4 linked regions of the Schizosaccharomyces pombe genome follow. The gene in region 3 interacts genetically with the main gene of each other region. Each region holds a gene or a part of one and is shown on either strand. Other genes may lie near its edges. The genes, in order: SPOM_SPAC12B10.01C, pus1, trm8 and trm82.

Evidence for each region.
Region 1: mutations in trm8 (region 3) and SPOM_SPAC12B10.01C together harm fitness more than expected from each alone (negative genetic interaction), as found in Schizosaccharomyces pombe (one large-scale study listed by BioGRID).
Region 2: mutations in trm8 (region 3) and pus1 together harm fitness more than expected from each alone (negative genetic interaction), as found in Schizosaccharomyces pombe (one large-scale study listed by BioGRID).
Region 4: mutations in trm8 (region 3) and trm82 together harm fitness less than expected from each alone (positive genetic interaction), as found in Schizosaccharomyces pombe (one large-scale study listed by BioGRID).

The regions. Positions count from the first base shown.
Region 1 is NC_003424.3:4,569,754-4,577,183, forward strand, and holds SPOM_SPAC12B10.01C (ubiquitin-protein ligase E3), read right to left. Parts: upstream 5,891-7,430; 5' UTR 5,689-5,890; coding exon 745-5,688; 3' UTR 552-744; downstream 1-551. Other genes in the region: zds family phosphatase type A regulator Zds1, read left to right, coding at 1-370; acetylase Sdg1, read right to left, coding at 6,475-7,182. UniProt on the Schizosaccharomyces pombe protein: E3 ubiquitin-protein ligase which accepts ubiquitin from an E2 ubiquitin-conjugating enzyme in the form of a thioester and then directly transfers the ubiquitin to targeted substrates.
Region 2 is NC_003421.2:2,118,993-2,123,184, reverse strand, and holds pus1 (tRNA/U2 snRNA pseudouridine synthase Lsp1), read right to left. Parts: upstream 2,571-4,192; 5' UTR 2,521-2,570; coding exon 1,444-2,520; intron 1,379-1,443; coding exon 1,023-1,378; intron 984-1,022; coding exon 812-983; 3' UTR 555-811; downstream 1-554. Other genes in the region: SAGA complex deubiquitinating submodule subunit Sgf73, read left to right, coding at 1-434; Ku domain protein Pku70 , read left to right, coding at 3,767-3,799, 3,865-4,047, 4,119-4,192. UniProt on the Schizosaccharomyces pombe protein: Formation of pseudouridine at positions 27 and 28 in the anticodon stem and loop of transfer RNAs; at positions 34 and 36 of intron-containing precursor tRNA(Ile) and at position 35 in the intron-containing tRNA(Tyr).
Region 3 is NC_003421.2:950,204-954,040, forward strand, and holds trm8 (tRNA (guanine-N7-)-methyltransferase catalytic subunit Trm8), read right to left. Parts: upstream 2,068-3,837; 5' UTR 2,002-2,067; coding exon 1,888-2,001; exon of another isoform or gene 1,831-1,887; coding exon 1,772-1,830; exon of another isoform or gene 1,639-1,771; coding exon 990-1,638; 3' UTR 523-989; downstream 1-522. Other genes in the region: ure7 (urease accessory protein UREG), read right to left, coding at 2,473-3,333. UniProt on the Schizosaccharomyces pombe protein: Catalyzes the formation of N(7)-methylguanine at position 46 (m7G46) in tRNA.
Region 4 is NC_003421.2:1,976,491-1,980,866, forward strand, and holds trm82 (tRNA (guanine-N7-)-methyltransferase subunit Trm82), read left to right. Parts: upstream 1-2,030; 5' UTR 2,031-2,404; coding exon 2,405-3,084; intron 3,085-3,157; coding exon 3,158-3,743; 3' UTR 3,744-3,875; downstream 3,876-4,376. Other genes in the region: rRNA processing protein Utp23, read right to left, coding at 733-1,337, 1,522-1,611, 1,724-1,811; rpp0 (60S ribosomal protein uL10), read right to left, coding at 4,139-4,291.

The sequences.
Region 1 (7,430 bases), on a different chromosome or scaffold from region 3:
GAGTCGTTTTCCAATTTGTACTGAACGTGCCATTTATCGTCTCTCTCATATAAAGTTGTCAAACGCGCATCGCCCATTGTTTCAACAAGTTCTCTTAAGTAACTTTATGTATTCATACTTAGATTTAATTTCTCGAATTAGCTCAAATCGCCCGATGAATAATGTACAACAGTCTACTGCTAAACCAATACGCAAAGACATTAATGGACAACAAAGGCGTTCAGAGTTTTCAGCAGAAAATGTAAAAAACGAGCTGGAGAATCTCAGTTATCAATTTGGAGATCAGCGTAAGCGAAATCTTAATAGGAAAGGATCGACTATTCATACCGTTTCTCAAAATATTCAAAAAGTTTCAAAGAATGCTAAATAATCATTTTACCCTACTGCTATTCGTTGGTCTAACATTTTTCCTCATTGGTTAATTATTAGCATTTGGCGACTTTTGTTATATGTTACAGGGTCTTCATTGTCTTTAAAAATTTGTATCTTGTTCACCAACACTTTCTGGAAGCAGGTGGTTATTTATTTTCATGAGTTAAATATAAAATTCTTACTCAATGCATAAGTTTCTAATGAATTTCATTCGCTATGCTACTTTACATTGTAAGGGGAGTACGAAGTTACCCATTCTATAATAAATTACCAATTCTTTTTCGCTTTATATTTGTACATAGCCTCTATTTTGAAGTAATCATAGAACGCTACTGAAGTGCTATACAATAACTTTTTTTTTCTAAACAATGCTTAGGATAAATGAAAACTGCCCTGTCCTTCTAAAATAGCCTTAGAAAGTCGACTTCCTAAAACCTCACTTGAAGAATACTCAGGTAGTTTCAAATAATTCACACAAGTCATCACGCTTGGAAGATAATCATCAGGTACATAAGGAGGTTCATTTAAGCGCCTAACAACAGTTAACGGGGGATTTAGGCCAGCAAATCCTCCAATAGGAAGTTTTCGGCTTCCAGTAATAAATTGCAAAAAGTCTCTTTGTTCTTGAAAATTCATTTGACTCATCAAAGTCAGTAATCTCTGGATTGTAGGACTTTCCATGGTGTAACCGTGATCTGCTACTATAGATTTCATCAAGGTCGCGTAACTCCAATCCTCATCGACAGTACCGAATAGTGTGACCAATTCATGTTCTGTCAAAACTTGCAAAGAAGTATAAGGAAAAACGCTGGAAAACCCATTTTGAAATGCTTCTAATTGTTGTTGAACACCCTTTCCAACAGTATAGTCAATGACATAATTTAAATAATCACTCACATTGAATGTTGTCACAGGTGTACTAGCTCCATCAGGTATGAGTTCAATAGACGGAAATCCCGGTAGAGTAAAATCGAGATGAAGGTCTTCAAGCTTAATGTCCGTCTCGGCGTTTGTAGGGTTTTTACCCGGTATTAATTTCTCTAAATATCGTAACGAGTTAGCTAAGCCCTTGTCAACTTTCGCTACAGAGGAAATGGTTAAAGGTATATTTCGTGCAAAGAAAAGTGGATTAAACTGAATGCTTATTATCCTTGAATCATAAATCGAGCGTGCAACGAACTGTCCAAGAGCAAAGAACAACGAAATTTTTCTTTCATTTTCTGGACTGGACCCTAATAATGGAATAGGAGAAGGAAAAAGTCCAGACGCTTGGTACACAAATTTAGAGTTGGGTTGATCATTCCGCCAAATATCGAGAGAATTTAAGGTAAATTCTTTAGATACTGAAGTATAGAACTCCAAAGTGGGCCCAAGACCTGAACCAACTTCATCTTCGTATTCTATTTCAAGAATATTTTCAGAAGCCGCATAAGTTGCAAGCAAATGCAAAGCGTAATTAAATATTTTTTTCCGAGAAATACGAATTTTCTGGCGATGTAAGCTGACAAATTGAAGTATGGAGGAACTTTCGTTTTTTGATAGCTCAGGATTTCGGGACAAAAGAAAAGAAACGGATCTTGATAAACCAAAAGCAGTAGATTGCAATAAAAGATATCGAGTTTCAAACGGTACTAGGAATGGATATGCAGAGGTTAGTGATATACACCAGGAGGGTAAACAACCGTGAACAACAAGTTGTTGCTCTTCAAGTTGTCTATTCAATTTGGCACTCAACTTCCAGTTGCTAAAATCTGTAAGAATGTTTTCAATGTTGCCACGGAAATGTTTGTCAGGAAAGAGGGTATGAACGTCTCTAATCCCATAATACAAAATACTCAATAAATCCAATATTTCTCTAATATTTATAGAAAATCCCTCTGTTTCATTCTCATAGTTTAACTCCCCTTTCATATCATTGTGAATGCAATCAGGCTCACCATAAAATATTGGGACAGGAGTTTTCCAAAAATCATCGAGAGTATGATCGTCAGACAACTGTATATACTCATATAAAATTCTGAATATTGTTTTGTTTCGGGGTACCTTTTTACCCATCAAACTGAATACAAAATGTTCCTCGAAATGTGATGATGTCGAGGAGTCACGTCGCTCTGATGGCTCTGTTGTGTGATTAGGAGCATCTTGAGACATTGAGTCAGTATAGTCTCCTGAAGAGTTACGAGATGATCCACTCATTGACTCCCTCAAAGAACCGGCCTCGCGGAGGATTGAAAAACGACGTCCAGTTTCATTACGCACAGAAATGCGACTGTGAAGATAATTATCAAGTGTACGAATAGTAGCTAGCCCATTAATAGAAACGACAAGAGATCGGAAAGGTGGTCGAATTCTTGATCCCGGAAGAGCCATTAAACGAAGTTTAAACTGCCGCGAAAAAACATGATCTACCGCATTCTCAGTATCTGGGGGTAACGTTGAAAGTTGAAAATTCTCAACAGTTGAAAGTAGATTTTGCAAACAAAAGATAAGTGAAACTAAGGGACCATTACCAAATTCTAAAACTTCGCGTTCATCACATGTATTCATAGCTAACAAAAATGTTCGAAGAGATGAACTTCCAAATTTTTTGAGTGATAAAAGCAAATTATGAATTAATCCAGAATGAAGTAATTCATGACTAGTAATATTAGATCCTTCTTGAAATATTTTGGCTAGTTCTGAAAAAGATTCGTCTTGTTTGGTCTCACTTAATAAATGTTTAGACAATTGTTTAAGTTGAACTAATGTTGAGTTTTCTAAATTTTCTTCCTTATAATTAGAGAGAAACTCCTTGGCAAGGCTCTTTAACGTCGATAAATTCTTCAACTCCTCATGACGAGCAGCAGATTTGTTTTGTGAAAAGGAAATACTTAACTTTATTTTCTTCATGTCTGCATTGGTAGAGCGAACTAAAAATCCAACCTCCTGTACAACGCCTTCTCGTATAAATAACGAAGAATAAACATTAGGAAGTGCTTCAAGCAAAAATAGACACATTTCTAAAGCATCTCGCTTCAAGAAATTGTCAGATTTGCGTGAATTTAAAATTGAAGCAATGAATGATGATAAAGGAAGAGAACAAACTAAGCCATCTAAATTATTTTCCCTAATTGAACATAACATTTTCAATGCCGTAGTCACAGCTAACGATCGGATATCATGAAGGGGCACAATAAAATAAATGTCCATTACAACAGTTAAGAGTATACTGTTTAATCGATATAGTTTCGTGTTAAATTCATCAGACAAGTTACTAGTGTTTTTAGGAAGCAAAGAAGTTATAGCTCTTAACAAGTTTTCTATTAACTCGATCGGACAATAATACAAACTTTGCATTGTAATCATATCAGCCTGATGGGATGTATCAGAAGGTGGTATTCCACACAGCATTTCGTACATCACATCCGGCAAATTATGGTTAAGAAAAGGTAAAATCAAAGCAGAAGATGACTGACACAAAGATGATATTATATGTAATAGCTGCACTTGTAAGTGCATTGACTTATTTTGTGAGGTAGAATTAGTCAAAGCATTGACAATAGTGGTGATCAAATCCTCGGAAATTATCGTTTCAATTATGTTTGGTGAAGTTTTCAAAGATTCAATAATTGTCTCCAGGCAAGAATATGCCTTACTAACGACTATGGTATCAGAAGATTGTAGAATATTAGAAAGCAATGGAATAATTTCTTCTGCTGCGGAAGCATTGGATTCATCCAAAAACTTACAGCAATTAGCAGCCAGAGAAATAGCTGTCCGTTGAACTGTAGTATAAAAAAAATCAAAGTATTGGAGAGCAGCTAACATTCCTCTGTGTTCCAAAATACAAATACCAAAATCTTTAGAAAGCCGTTCTAAAACTCCTAAAGCTTGTTCAGCAATATCAATGTATTGCATATCAAACATTCTTTCACACAGAATGCGAACAATAGGACTATATGCTATTTTAGCCATACATAAAGGCAAAGCTTCCATCATATTAGATACACAGGTAGTACAGGATAGCATAAGTTGAATAGAGACTTCTCCGAAATCATAATTTCGCCCAGATAAGATTTCGGAAAAAGCCGCAATGTATGAATCGGTTGAAAACAATCCAACAAGCATATCTTCAGTACTCATAGCAAACGCTTCGGAAAGTTCTTGAAGAGAAAGCATTTGAACAGTAGGATCACTAAAATCCTTTATTCCTTCTAACAAGCGTCCAAATTGAACACCTGGAGCAGAAAATGCAGAACGAAAAGGATGAAAGGAACTATTGAAACGGTATGTCTGTGGACCTAAAGAAACATCTTCGTCATCAGAGTTCTCCAAATTACCGGAAGAAAGTATAGAAGACGCTAAACTTTGAAACTGATTACCTCTTCTGATTCTTCCCAGTTCATTTAACAAGTTAGTTTCATCGTATTCTTCGATTCCACTCATGTTCATGTTTTCTTGTTCATTAATAACAGCGGCTGAAGGATTAGGTGAACCGTTTTCGCTTCTTAACTCGTCATTTTCATTTTCATCTTCATCGTCTCCCTCATCATTGTTTTCATCATCGTCTTCTTCCTCCTCTTCATCAACATCTTCATCTCTTTCATAACTTTCACTGCCACTACTGGATTCATCGTCTTTGTACTCGTTATTATTTATATCATCATCAGTTCCATCATTAGTATCATCATAGACGTGGTCATCTTGGTCATTATATTGGGACGAATCAGTAGAAGTATGATAGTTGCTGGAGTCAGAATACGTAGTTTCATAAGAGTTTGAATTCCCAAACTTGGTTAAGCCACTTTTGTCATTAAAAGTTATGTTCTTTGGTTCCATAACTGATTTATCAAATGGAATGATATCAACTTCCGCCTTTTTGTCTAATGCAGAATCAACCGAAGCATTGCTTAAAACGCGTTCATAAGAATTCAGTATATCCGATTGCTTATTAAGAGGCAACACACCTTTATCGGATTTCACTAACTGGGGTTTACCTTTGAGCTTTTCATTAAAGGATTTAAAGACCCTAGTTTTGCTCGTTGTAAGTGGTTGTTCAAGCAATTCGGAAAAATCATGCCGCATATTTAAATGCCTTCCAAATTCCACACTTTTACTAGAAGGTGGTTCAGAAATTTTGGCAGATACCTCCATTTTTAAAAAATGTTTAGTTGCTCTGCGTTTCTTTGTAAATGGCAATTCTTCAGAAGTGTTTAATCTATGTTTGTTGTCGGACTTACTTCGTAGGTTTGGTATAAACACAGGTGAGTTGGTTATAGATTCACTATGTATTAAATTCGGTAAATTCGGAGTATTCGTATACGCTTGAACAGACATGAAATAACAAAATGTCGCTCAGAAAGGCTAATTTAATAAACAAAATTTGGAAGCCTTTCGGCGAGCGATTGGAGTGATTGTTAATTACAATCCAACAAAACAATCAAGTAATTTCTGAACCAAGGAGACAAAATCCCAGTTTTAATTTGATCCTTCTATGATCTCTTGTTTAAGGCGGAATGTGCTGTTGACATAGGGAGATGGCAAAAGCGTCGACAACAAGGGCGCACCATTATGTTGCCGTAGTATGTGTTATAGTAATACGTTATTACTCTAAGTACTATTGTTTTTTTCTGTCTTTTACTGTCATTAAATATTTTTAAATTTGTTTTTTATTTGCAAGATGCTGTATTTTATTTATTGATTCAGCTTTGATTCACACTCGTTAAACGTACTTTTGTAGTCGATCGATTGTGTTTTTACAAGCATAATTGACGATAGTGAAATGAGATGCTCACTTAGTATTCACTAACATACATCAGTTATATAATATTAAGTTTACATTCAAATTGTTTTGTACAGTCTAGCGGGTACGAACTCTTGAACATGGAGCGGACGTAATGAAATAGTTTCTAAAACTTTTAACAATTATTCAACAACACGGTGGGTCTAGTTTTTGCCCTAGGTAGAAATTTACTTGAACGTCGTGAAATTCTTTCGTAACTATTTCACGAAAAAAATAAACACAAAACAAAAAGATTTAAAATATGAACATACAGCGAAAAACAAGTTGTAGCTGCGCAATTACATGCACGAAAGGGTAATATTTGCGGAAAGTTAAATAATCTATCTTCTATTTTCAAAACCAGGTTGTTCGCTCAAATTCTTTTGAAGCACTAAACGGCGCAATCCGAAAAACGATAGATAATCGAAAGCTTCATCAACTACAGGAGTAAAGTCTTTTCTTTCAAAAGCCTTCAACATTGGGTCGGTTGAATAAACTCGTGCTGAGACCACGTCAGCACCCATCTCCTTCGCCTCACGAAGTGCTGAATCTAGGAGATCAAACGCATACTGATAAAATTTAGGAATGACAGTCCAGTGGACAATAGTTGGTGTGTTTTGGTATGCACCAGGAGCATTTGCAGGCAAGATACCTATAATACCAATAACTCGTTCTTTGTCAATGCGGGCCATATAAAAATGTTTAAGATTCTCTTCAGCCAAGCAGCCGTCAGGTTGATTGTCTTCAGTGCTAATCTTTGCATACACATTTCTACAGGGAAATTCAATCAACGTCAAAAAGACAGCGCTAACCAATATTAATAAAACAAAAGTTCGTAATTTTGTATTTCCTTCTACCATGTTTGTTAAGCGATATATCCCCATAAACACCAAACCAAAAACCGCAAGATACAACGGGTGCCAAAAGATTTTTTGAGAGAGATTTCTCGATTGACCGTTCAACGCATTCATGGCAATCGATCGAATACTCGACAGCTCCGCAAGGGTGGGACGACGAATATCAATTCTTTTACGTTGCACATTCGACATTTTTATGTAATTAAATATTCTTTTTTGCTAATCTTTTTAAAATTTATTGTCACAATATTTCTTTTACAATTACCTTCTACTGTGAAATTTAAGAAGATGGAGGTTCGTAAGTGGAGTAGGTAAGAATGAAGCCATTATACCACCATAGATTTACCCAACCCTTGGTTGTTTCAGTCAATTTTTGCGAATTGTAATTTCATACAACTAGAATTTGATCAAATCTACCCTCTTATTAAATGATTGAGATT
Region 2 (4,192 bases), 1.2 Mb from region 3:
AGCAATGCGGTGTTTTGCTTCCTAATGGGCAAATGTGCGCCAGATCTCTCACATGTAAAACGCATTCAATGTCAAGCAAACGAGCCGTTCCGGGAAGATCTCAGCCATACGATGTTTTGCTTGCAGCTTGTCAAAAGAAAAACCAAGTAAAAATACAACGACAAATCCTCGAAACTGCAAAAGAATCCGAAGATAATCAGCATCAAGCGCCTGTTGATTCTGATGAAGAAGTCAGTTTCATTATGAATGTTCTCCAGAAATCTGGCAATCAGCCTTTGGAGCAAAAAGTTTTTTTACCCGTAAAACGTCGCCATTCGTATTTTCGTACTAGAGAGTTAATAGCTGCTGCATTTCGACATGGTGAGCAGGGTATGCAAGTTACTGGTACTATATTGGGACGAGTGATTCCTTTTAGTGCCCGCCAACCACTATAAAGAAATTCTTTTGATTTTGCTTCGGTTGATGATTTAAATTCTTTATGAGATTATAGTTTACATTTTGGTCTACTTGACCACGCATTTTCGACTTTTTAATTTTCTCCTCCGTTCATCTAGTTTCTATTTCATTAATTTTTTCATTTTTTATTTTGTATATTGCACCATACGGTCTTAACATTTGGAATAATCAAGTAGAAGTTAATAAACTATAAAAATACCAATAGAACCCAAAACCAATAATCAATTCTAAAAAAAAGAAAGAAACAAGTATTCTCCAAAAATATATGTACACGTTTGTAGTCTAATTTTTTAAAAGAAACAGCAAAGTTTATGGTATCAGTTTGTTGCAAATCCTCAGTCTCACAATCAATCCTTTAGCCCTCTAAATCATCCTTGTTTTCAGCCGAATCTTCTTCTTCATCGCTAGAAAGAACATCAGGCAATTTTGAGGAAACCTCTTGCGTCTTTTCAGTAATGCCTATATCTGATAAATAACTGAAATCTTCTTCATTATAACTGTCAATAAAAGACAAAAAACAATGAAATCTAAACCGGTTAGTTAATTTAAGAAAAAAATATACTTACACTTGTTTACGAGCTTCTTCGAGAAAAATTTTATCATAAATATGAGCATGCTTAAAAGCAGTAATTTTTTGCTCGTACTTTGTAAAGTCGATAGGATCACGATTATTCTCTGGAGCTTTATGTTCATTATAACCTTTAAAAAACGGTGACTCTAATAAAAGTCCAAAACCAGGTCCCTTGGGTATGTTAATTTTTGTTTTTTTAAAGGCATCTTGTATGCGCTCAACAGGACAACCCGTTCGTACAACTAAAATAGCAAGCGCAATCATCTTTCTAATTTGGTGCAACATAAAAGATTGACCATGAACTTTACATGAAATCCATTCTGTATCGCCAATCATGAATGGATCAGATGCCTAGAATGTTAGAAACAAGACTTGTCAAGAATACTATAAATACAAAGAAGATAATTCTTACTTACAGTAAAAGAACGGATCACGCGATTACTATTCTTCTGATGAAATGCTTGCCCCACAGTAAAATTGTGAAAGTTATGAACTCCAACATATTGGTTTAAAGTTTCTCGAATAACGGACAGCCTATCTGCGGAAATACGGTAATTTTTTAATTTAAGTACTTCAATGTGCTTAAGTGCACGTTCGAGACGATAACTGGGATCAATCTTGGAACCAGCAGATTCGTCTTCAACAGAGTCAGGCTTTAAAAACTCGTTTACAATAGCAGAGGAATCGGAATCCATATCTGGATTAGTTTTAGCGGAAACTCCTGCTTCAGAGCCCTTATTATTTTCCGAATTAGCAAGAGCAGCAGCTCCCCTTTTAGAATATGGATTTACGAAGCCTTCAGGATCCTGTTCATAAAGGCTCAAAATCTCTTTGGCTGCAATATCATAATCATCCCAAAATTCCTTTCCTTCTTCATAAAATAATGAACGACTGAGTTGATTTATATTTTCCTTGTTAATTGGCTCAGCAGGCATGGGAGAATTCTTCATAATGCAATTTCCAAGTATGGACGAAGGTTTCGGTGGAACAAAAGCATACGTTGGAACCATATATTCATATATACGAGATTCGCAATAAGTCCTTGGGTTAAAAGAATTAATAGTACGGATCACATCCCATAAGCGAATGGAAGGAGGGAGGTGTTCGTTCACTTTTTCAATTAACTTCTCATCTTCCATTATAAGTTTGAGACTGATAACATTTCCAGCGGCATGAACTCCTTTATCAGTTCTTGCGGCTCTTGCTAAAGCAACTTTCTTTGGGTCATCAGCGTTATAAGAAGAAACGGCACCAGCCTTCACAAAAGCATCAAAAAGATCTCCTTCGATTGTTTTACTAGGAGGATTCAATTGCATACCATGATATCCGCTACCACAATAACCTACAAGACAGGCGACCTTTCTTTTCGGCTTTTTTTCTCCAACTACCAAATTCTCTGGCCGACCTTCTCCATTGTATATAGAATTAGGTCGGTTCCTTTTCGCTTCTCGACGATCACCATTGTACCAAGTGCGTTTACCACCACGTCCCATGCTGTAGTTAATATTATTTGTTTTTGATGAAAACGCAATTTACGCTGCACAGGTAAAAATTCATTTAAACATAGTAGAGTATATTTTCTTAATAATGAAATGCAAGGAATCGTTATTCATTCAATAAGATAAGAGTATAATTACACGATGGTTCACTAAACAATTATAAAACAATATACTTCGCTTACCTTAAGTTAAAAGTTTTAAGAATTAAAAAGCTAAATATTGTATCGCATTTCGAGCAAAAACAGATTGATGAAGCATTCAAACCAAAAAAAAATAATCAGCCTGAAAAAGGAATGACTTAAGACTGACTATTAATTGTTGCTTATTCTCTGTCTCTGTGTTTTATCTTTTGTTACCAGTTGTCGAAGTAAAGGCCAAATTGAAACCCGTGACTAATCCTTCCAATAACTAAGAAAAGTATACCTATTATCAATTTTATATCAAAAATCTAGTCCTTTTCATCGTTCATAAACCTCATTTTTTATTTTTTTCTTCCACACGTTACGAACAAAACCGCAAATTGTCAGCAATACTACACTAAGCTATGATATATTACGTTGCGTTTCACTATATGTCACATGTTCTAATTATATATCGTACCATGTATGATACGATATTGATATTGATCTTAATTAAAATCTATTAATATGTATATTATCTGAATACTATAAATAGAGCTACTGCTGAACCTCGTTCCTCAGTTCAGTTATGAGCTATATTAGTGATAGGTAACATTATAACCCAGTTAATACAATACCTATACTCAGTTGCTACTTATACAACCTGTGTATTGTAATATAATAGATCACAAGGAAAACTCACCGCAGTTCTACGTATCTTTAAATCAGATACCAAACTGCGTAGCCGACACAAATGAACTATAACGAACTAATATTAGTTGCAACTTACGACGGCTTTACTTGAGCTCTTTAAATTTAACGTATTCGCAACAATCACAGTGCGTGTAAAACACCCACTAGAATGTTGACACCATTGTGCATTTTATTATTTTTCTCAAATATTGGAATTGGTGCTTAATAACTCATATTGGTATATCAATATATTAAATTATTTGACATTTAAGATACTAATGAAATAGTTATTTCATTCGTGTGCTTTAGCCGTTATCATCGGACGGTTTACATAAAATATCAGCGTTTTTATAATTACGCGTGCTTCTTTTTTCTTTTTGTCGTATTTAAAAAGCCAAGGAAATTGTTTTTGATAATCTGTTTTTTACATGGAAAACGATGAACAAATAGATGAGACAGAAGTATGACCAATATGGACTGGTAGACGCAGGTGTTTTGAAATTATTATGCTGACGATTGTTTAAAGAATTTTGCAATTGGAAAATATGCCATTTTATTTGTGATTGAAGTTTCTCCCAGTATGCTTGATCCTGTCGATGAATTTACTCCCAGCTCTTTGCAGATGGCACTTATTTGTGCGTACCAGCTGGCGGCTCAAAGAGTAATCACAAATCCCAGCGACATAATGGGTGTATTGCTCTATGGTACTGTAAGTTTAATGCTGCATTTAAATTCACCGACGTTTACTTCTGCCATTAAATGTCTCTAACCACAGCGCAGGAGTCCTCTACGGGCCGATTCGCAAATCAAATGATGCTTTTAGACATTGATCCTCCTGATGCTGAACGTATTAA
Region 3 (3,837 bases):
AAAATCATTCAATTTTTAGATACGACAACCTCTTTGCTTGTTTATTTTTGAAATACTAAATTGCTTGCTTCAGTCTTTATAAATAAAAGTATAATCATTAGATTTCATGATTAGCATAGAATATAAAAGAAAAACATCACTAGCAAGGAACATTTTTCAAATTAAAATTCAAAAACAAATCGTTACAAAAAGATGCAATTTATAAAAAAAAAATGAAAGTACACACACACGGTTAAAGAGTCAAAAAGAAGAATTTAATTTTATTTTGCTCAAGCTTATAAGAATCTGTAAAAAAAAGTTAGTAAATTATTCAAATAATAAGATTTCATGGAAAAGCACTTGAAACAATAGAAATATTCAGAGATCGGATTTGGCTTCCGGGTCAATCGTCACAGATTTCGGATAGGGGCGACACAAATTGCTCATCATAGTAATATTTTTAACATTGTTTCAGCGTTTTAAAACTCAAGTTGAAATTACTTACATTCTGTTTTGTAATTGACAAACCACCTCTTGTTATGAGCTTCTACTTATATAATCCTTGGACAGTCACAACCCTGCCCTAGTATACTGTTAAAGAATGTCAAATAGTCATTAAAAATTATTGAAATTTCGATCATTTAGGTTATTGAAGTATTATGTAGCAAGTAATAATATAGTATCTTGAAAATACTTAAGAGAGCTGTAGGTCATATTACCGTACAAATTGATTTTATTTCAAAATCCCAAAAATTCGGCACTTAACATGTAAAATTACTCCTTTTGCAAATTTACTAGATTTCTTGTTTTATTTAGCATTCATAATATATTGCCATGGAGTTAAAAGGATAGTTGCAAAGAGCTCTCTTATTTACGGAGCCAGCTTGAGGATAGGTACGGATTTTGTAAATGAGTAGTTAAACAGTAAGTCAATGCGAAAGTGTAATGATGTTAGCGATAAATGTTAATTTAGTTATTTTAAACCTATATTATTCAGCCCAATTATTAAGTTATTTTGGATTTGGAATGCGCTCATAACATGCAACAAATTTCTTTCCGCCATTACGTGCAACCTTTTTCCCTTCCTCTGTTTCGTTTGTCATCAATGTAACACATATATCGTTTTCTTCTTCTTCTTTTGTGAATCGTCGAAACAAGGGATGCGCGTCGAGATGTTGAGCCATCCAAACATGTAGCTCTTCCACGTCTGTAATGGTATAAAGCGTTCCATGGGGTCGAATGAAATAAGCATACTCACTTGCCAAAGTACTTGTGATAATTCTATTTTTATGTTTACGAGCCTTGAAGTGAGGATCTGGAAAGCAGAAAAACATTTTTGAGAGTTGCCCTTTTTCGAAGAAATTTGGAAGGAACTTTTGGCAATTCATACGAAGAACAGAAATGTTTTTGTATCCCCCTGGAACCGGCTCTTCATGATCTGCACGATAACGCAATGCTTGTATCTTTTCTTTCAAATAGTCTGAAACTTGCATCCGGATTTCCATGCCTAAAACTAATGTATCAGGAAACTGGGGACCAAGTGCAACAGTAAGACCCCCGTAGCCGCATCCTATGTCTACGATCTCGACCTTTTTGTTAGATTCAACATCAAAATCAGGATAATAAGGACTCCAATCCATTTCAGACGGACTTCTTGGACTGCGAGAGTTAGCAACAACCAAATTTTTAAAAATAAAATAGAAGGTAATCCCAAATTATATAAAAAATATATGTAAAAAGAGTTTATCGGTCACAGTTCTCAGCCAAACACAACTACTGTATATAAACTTACTACTCAAGTTCATGATCCGAAAGGACATTTGCATGCGCTCTTTGACGAAACAAACGTTTCTGTAAACAATATTAGTTAAAAGTCAATACACAAGATAATTTTGTATGAGAACATACCATGGGCAATCGCCCCTCCACACCTCCTTGCTTGGACAAACGTTTCAGCTTCTTCCTTGCCTCCTCTTCTTCCCTTTGCAATTGTGCTGCAGATTTTTTGGCTGTAGCAGACATTTTCTCTCTTTAGTTGAGCACACGAAAACCCCAAAAGGTAAAGGTTTAGTAAACTAGCTGTGCTGTAGTAAAAATTTGACTGAGACCAAAAAATTTGTATTCAAATCAGCTCAGTGTAAAATTTATCTAAGCGAGAAAACTAAAAGAGATATTTGAATGACTTAGTAAAATTTATACTTTAAACATTTCATAAAAAGTAATTAAACTTGTTCAGTGCGCAAGTTCACGCTTCGCTTTTTAATTATTCAAATTGGGTTTGAAAAAGGGAAATGTTATGTTACCTAATAATTTAGAAGTACATTGTAAATATATATAAAAATTTGCTCATATTCTATCTAAATATGCAAAACAAATTGAGGTAGAAGAAAGACATGCATTCAAATGCGTCCAATTCACCAGTAAGCATTTCGTTGTTACATGCACACTAAACTAACCTCAAACAATACAGGTACAATAACGCAAATCTAGTCATTACTTGAGAGCACCAGCACTCTTAGCGGCGCCTAGAATAAGTTCGGTGATCTCATCCATCCCAACTTGATTTTTGACTTGTGCAAAAACAATGGGTCCATTCTCACGAATCTTTTTTGCATCACGATCCATGACCGACAAATCAGCACCGACCAACTTAGCTAGATCTGTTTTGTTGATAATCAACAGATCTGACTCCGTGATACCAGGTCCACCCTTACGTGGAATCTTGTCGCCTCCAGATACATCAATTACATAGATAATGAAATCAGCGAGATCACGAGAGTAATTTGCAGCTAAGTTATCACCTCCTGACTCCACGAGTAGTAATTCTGTGTTGAACTCGGATTGCAACTCCTCCAATGCGACCAAATTACCGGAGACGTCTTCACGAATAGCAGCGTGTGGACAACCGCCTGTTTCGATTGCGCGAATTCTCTCTTCGGGAAGTGCCTTGTTACGAATTAAAAATTCTTGATCTTCACGAGTAAATATGTCGTTGGTAACAACTCCGATGCTATATTTTTCACCCAAGAGCCTGCAAAGCTGAAGCAAAAGTGCAGTTTTACCAGAACCGACCGGTCCTCCGACGCCAATGGTAAAGGCACGACGAGAGAAGTCTCTATGATTGAACTGAGGAAGTTCACGCTTCAAGTAGCTGCCAGGCGTTTCCATAGCATCGTGAGAATGGCCATGCTCTTGGATGAACTGCAATCTGGCAGCTTCGCTGGAAGAGTTGGAAGATGAATCATGGCTGTGATGATCGTGACCATGATGATCATGGTTATGATGGTCGTAATCGTGTGTATGGTGATGAGTCGAGTCATCAGAACCTCCCTTGTGAAGAAAAGGAATCGCCATGTTTTGAATTAGAAGAATGTGAAATAAATCTACGCAAGTTTTAAAAATTTTGAAAATCCTAGTTTGGCAGATGTGGAAAGTTAGAGGAAACCAAAAAGTAAAGTTATACCAAGCTTCCAAATTACCTGATTTGTAAGATTTTATAAGTGTAAATACAAATGAAGGTAAAGGGATAAGAAAAATATTTAATTAATCACGAGAAATTGTAAAACTGATTATATTCGACGTGAAATAAACCAAGGAGGAAATGGGAGTGTTATTGGTGAGGCAGATTTGCTATTTACTATTGTAGATAAAAGGTGCGCTACACTAATATCGAAATTTCGGTCGTTAGCATTATCCACAATTGAGTTACTTAAGAAATTGAAATCCAAGCAAACTGTAAGGCACTTGACATTTTCAAGAAGGTTGGGGAAGGTCATTTATTTGATAAGAGAACAAGCGCCATTGAAACTGTTTACAATTTATAACGCCTAAATAGTTTTACAAACGAAAAAAAAAAAA
Region 4 (4,376 bases), 1.0 Mb from region 3:
TACGAATTCGCAAGAAAAAACAATTTATGCTCCTTTGGTGTTGTAATACAAATAAGCGCTAGTTAAAGCTCAGAATCTGTATCAATCGCAAGAACGAAAATGACCGCCAAATGCAAATTATTCGAGTTTAACGTTACATAAACGCGCAAATCCACGAACAGTATGATCTTTTCAATACAAAGAATGCAGAGATTTAAGGTCCTGTTGGGTTAATAGAAAACTGTTAGCAAAGTATGTATTTAGGCCAGTAAACTGCGATATTTTTTTTACTGAAATACGTTAGCATTCACAACTGGGCTTACAGTTTCTCCCCTAATATATCAACGATTGAAATCTTTTTAAGATAATCTAACCTTTTATTTAGTCGAATAAAAATTTCAATTTTCTCTTTAAGCTAAATTTGGTTGAAACTGCTTTTTTAGGTCGCTTGGATAATTGCTTCCTTTTCTCTTTCGCTTTAAACGACTTTGAATCTAGATGAAAAATGGTTTACAACTTTACATTTGTGATGATTACATCGTAAATATTTACATTGTGCCTATACCCAATTTTTTTTCTTCGTTTCTTTAGCCACAAGCGTTAGTTGAAAGTATTGTTTACACAGGAAGGGTTGAATCAGAAACATTGTATGTATGATAGCGTTATATTAGTAGACAACACTTGTAGGCAAACCTATCCCGAAAAATTTTATTTTTAAATATATACATATGCTAATTTCCAACAATAAGCAGTCTACTTTCTTTTCCGACGATGTTTTTTTCTTTCACCAACATCACCTATTATGTTTACAGGTAAAGTAGGTTCATCCGTTGTATGGTTTTTTGATGATCTCTTTTTGATGCTTAAAGGGTTAGGCCCTTTAGGACCCTTGCGTTTTTTATTGGCTTTTGGAGCAGAATCCTCTGTTCCCGCTAAATCCGTACTTTCCTTGGTATCTTGATCATCGATAGCCAGTTCATTCGCTGAACGCTTTTTTCCGGATAATAACAACTTTTCCTCTTTTGACATGCCCATCTGAACGGATTCTTTGTTGTGCTTTTCTAATAACGTAGCTCGTGAAGCTGGTTCTAGTATCACAACTGACCTTTTCATATATATAAGTGGAACACCTGGGACCGAACGAAGAGCTTGCCTAAGCTCGGGGTCTTGGGTAGCAACAACATAGCGGTGCTTGTTCCGACCATTAATGTTGACTACACTCTGAATACATTCTGAAGGAGAGAGTGCTTCATCAATATGACCACACCTCCTTCGCTCAAAAGACTTTGCGATACGAATTTCTTGCTTCAATTCATCGGATTTACTGTACAATTGCCGAATACAACATTGAGTAATCACTATAGTCAGTTAGTAAATCCGTTAGTTATAATAATTTACAAGGAGAACATAAGGAAAGAAAATAATAAACCAGACCCGGATGAAAAGATACTATGTTGAATAATTAAACTTTCCGTTCTGTTTCATATTCCGGGGGTTCGCCCTTTTTTCCAGTAAAAGAAAACACTTATAAACAAAACTTACTAGGTTTTATAGCTCCTTGAACAGTCCTAGCTAATGCAGCTTGTATATCAATCTTTTGTTGAGATAAATCTTTTAGGAAATCTGCATCCACTAAAAATCATGTTAGTTTAATAACATCACCAAAAAGAAAATGCTTATTGTTTGCAAATTAGAACTTGGGTAAGGATGCATCTTTACAAGCATCATTTTCTGTACCACATACCGAGTACTTGATATGGTTCACGAAATCCAAATAAAAGCTGATACGTATGCATCAGCTTTCTGTAATTCTTTGCCCTTTTTTGCCTCATATTTACGCCCTTTTCTGTGCGTCACACAGCCTAAGACTTAATATGCTTTAGATCACTTGTTTTTTTAAGAATTTTTTTTTTCGCTCAAAAACGAAAAGTCTTTTGTTACTATTAGAAATATTAAAAAAATAAATTCAATCGTATTAAAAGAAGTATCCAGGAACCCTAATATTGCTGAAATCCTCTTATTAGGAAATTTCCAACTAGTTTGTACTTTCCAAGTTCACCCACGTACTAAAATTTTGGGCGCTTTAACTATTTAACTTAAGTGAGATACTTGGCTTCGAACTGAGTGTATACTTCTTTTATTTCTCTATTTAGATAAATTTGTAAGGAAACGGTATTAAGCAGAAAGAGGATTCAGTCTATTATTTACCCTTATCATACTTTTTCTTCATTTCTACTGCGTAAATAATTTTAAAGCTTTGCTTTTTATTATTTGAAAGATTTGTCATTATTACTTTCTTTCTTCTAAAGCTTCTTTTTCTTCTTTTTATAAAATTGTAAATATATTCGGATCCAAAAATTAGAGGTTTATTTCTGAAGTGTTTGTTTTGTTGCTTCTATTTTCTTAAGAATCAATCAATAAAAACATGAGTGAACAGCGAGTTTTTAAGCACCCTTGTCAATTTTTAACATGGAATTCTAAACACAATTACATCGTGTGCTGTTCAGGTCCATATCTATTGGGGTTCTCATGCTCTACAGGGGAAAAAATTTTTGAACATTGTTATAGAGACAATATAAATGAAAAACATAGAGAGGCAGCTGCCTATGGAGAAGCGATTCGTCAAGTCGCATTTTCTAAAGACTATTCTCGTATGGCAACAGTTAGTGAAGACAAATGTTTGCGCCTTTGGGATAGCACTCAGCCTGATAAAATTGAACTTCTTTATCAAAAAAACATACCAAAGCGATGTGCTGACTTGTGCTTTGCGGGCTCAAACGAAATTGTTTTTGGTGATAAGTTTGGTGATGTCTATTGTGTAGACGAAAATTGGTTTACTACTTCTGAAGTTACCGAAGAAAAAAAGTCAAATGTGGTTGAAGGAAAACAAGAACCTGTTAATAATGACACTTTAAAGGATTCGAAATTGCAAAAACTCGAACCCATTATGGGGCATGTTTCGATCTTAACTCAATTAATAGTTGCTCAAAATCCACAAAATTCTAAAGAAGAAATAATCATTACTTCAGATAAAGACGAGCATATTCGTATTTCCCGATTTCCCAATGCATTTGTCATTGAAGGGTTTTGCTTAGGTCATGAAGAGTAAGTTTTCATTTGGTTTTAGTTGATCAATTTTTTTTTTTTTTTTTTAAATAACACTAACGCCTTTTCCTAGTTTTGTATCTAGGATGTCCTTATATGACAATCGTACTCTAATATCTGGCGGTGGAGATAATCACGTTTTCGTATGGGATTTAGAGAATTTCAAATGTTTGGATGCATTCGATCTACGATCTGCCTTTTCCACTTATCTCTCATTAAATCAACCAATGGTGGTTTCAGTTATTCTTCCTATTTTTAAGCGCCAGCTTGTTGCTTTTGCGTGTGAAGGAATGGCGGGTCTTATCTTCGCGAAGGTGACACCTGAAAAGAGACTGTTGTTTCATTCTGCTTTGAAGCTGTCAGGGCCTGTTCTTGACGCTGTTTTGCTTGACACGGATACTGATCAAATTCTCATTTCTTTGGACTCTAGTTTTACATTTGGTGCATGTTTTGAATGCGTGAAATTTGATGAAGGGAATGCGGCTGTTCTTACGAAACCCGATGTAATAAAGCGTATAGAATCTGATGGTTTAATATCAACCGAAAAGCCGTTCTGCCCGCTCGCTCAAATTCACACATTACGCAAGAACCACTCTAAATTCATTCGCAGTGTTGAAACCGGTACATCTTCGCCATCCGTTGAATCTAAAGATAATTAAAGCTCATTTTAGGGAGACCGGCTCAAAAAAAATAATTGGGAAAAGTGGGAGCATCAGTAAATATGGAAAATAGATATGAATAAAAATGATTGTGACATTAAAGTATAATAGGGAGAGCATTTAATTTCTTTGGAGAAACCCAGAATTTTGAAGTATAAATACAGTCAGCGATTAATAATTATGCGAATAAACGCAACTTGTATCTACTGCATAAGTGCAACTGCTATTCAGTTGTGCAACGTCAGCAATTTGAAGAAGTAAAATTAATCGTTTATTCAATTCCTTCCATTTACATGCTACGACAATACTTTACATAATACTTGCAACGGCAAATTGTTTTTAGAAGGCCTAAAGAACACGAGATACATCCATTAGTGCTATCTAACAAAAAAAGCTTAGTCGAAGAGACCGAAACCCATGTCCTCATCGGATTCCTCTTCCTCTTCAGCAGCAGCCTCGGCAGCGGGTGCCTCAGCTTCACCACCAGCAGCAGCAGCAGGAGCAGCGGCGACTACGAAAGCAGAGGGATCAGCAAGGAAAGCCTTAGTCTAAAATAAAGTTAGTGAACTGAGTACAAAAATAATTTAATGATTCAAAGAGTTTAATTGTATACAAGCGTTCAGCAAAAAATTA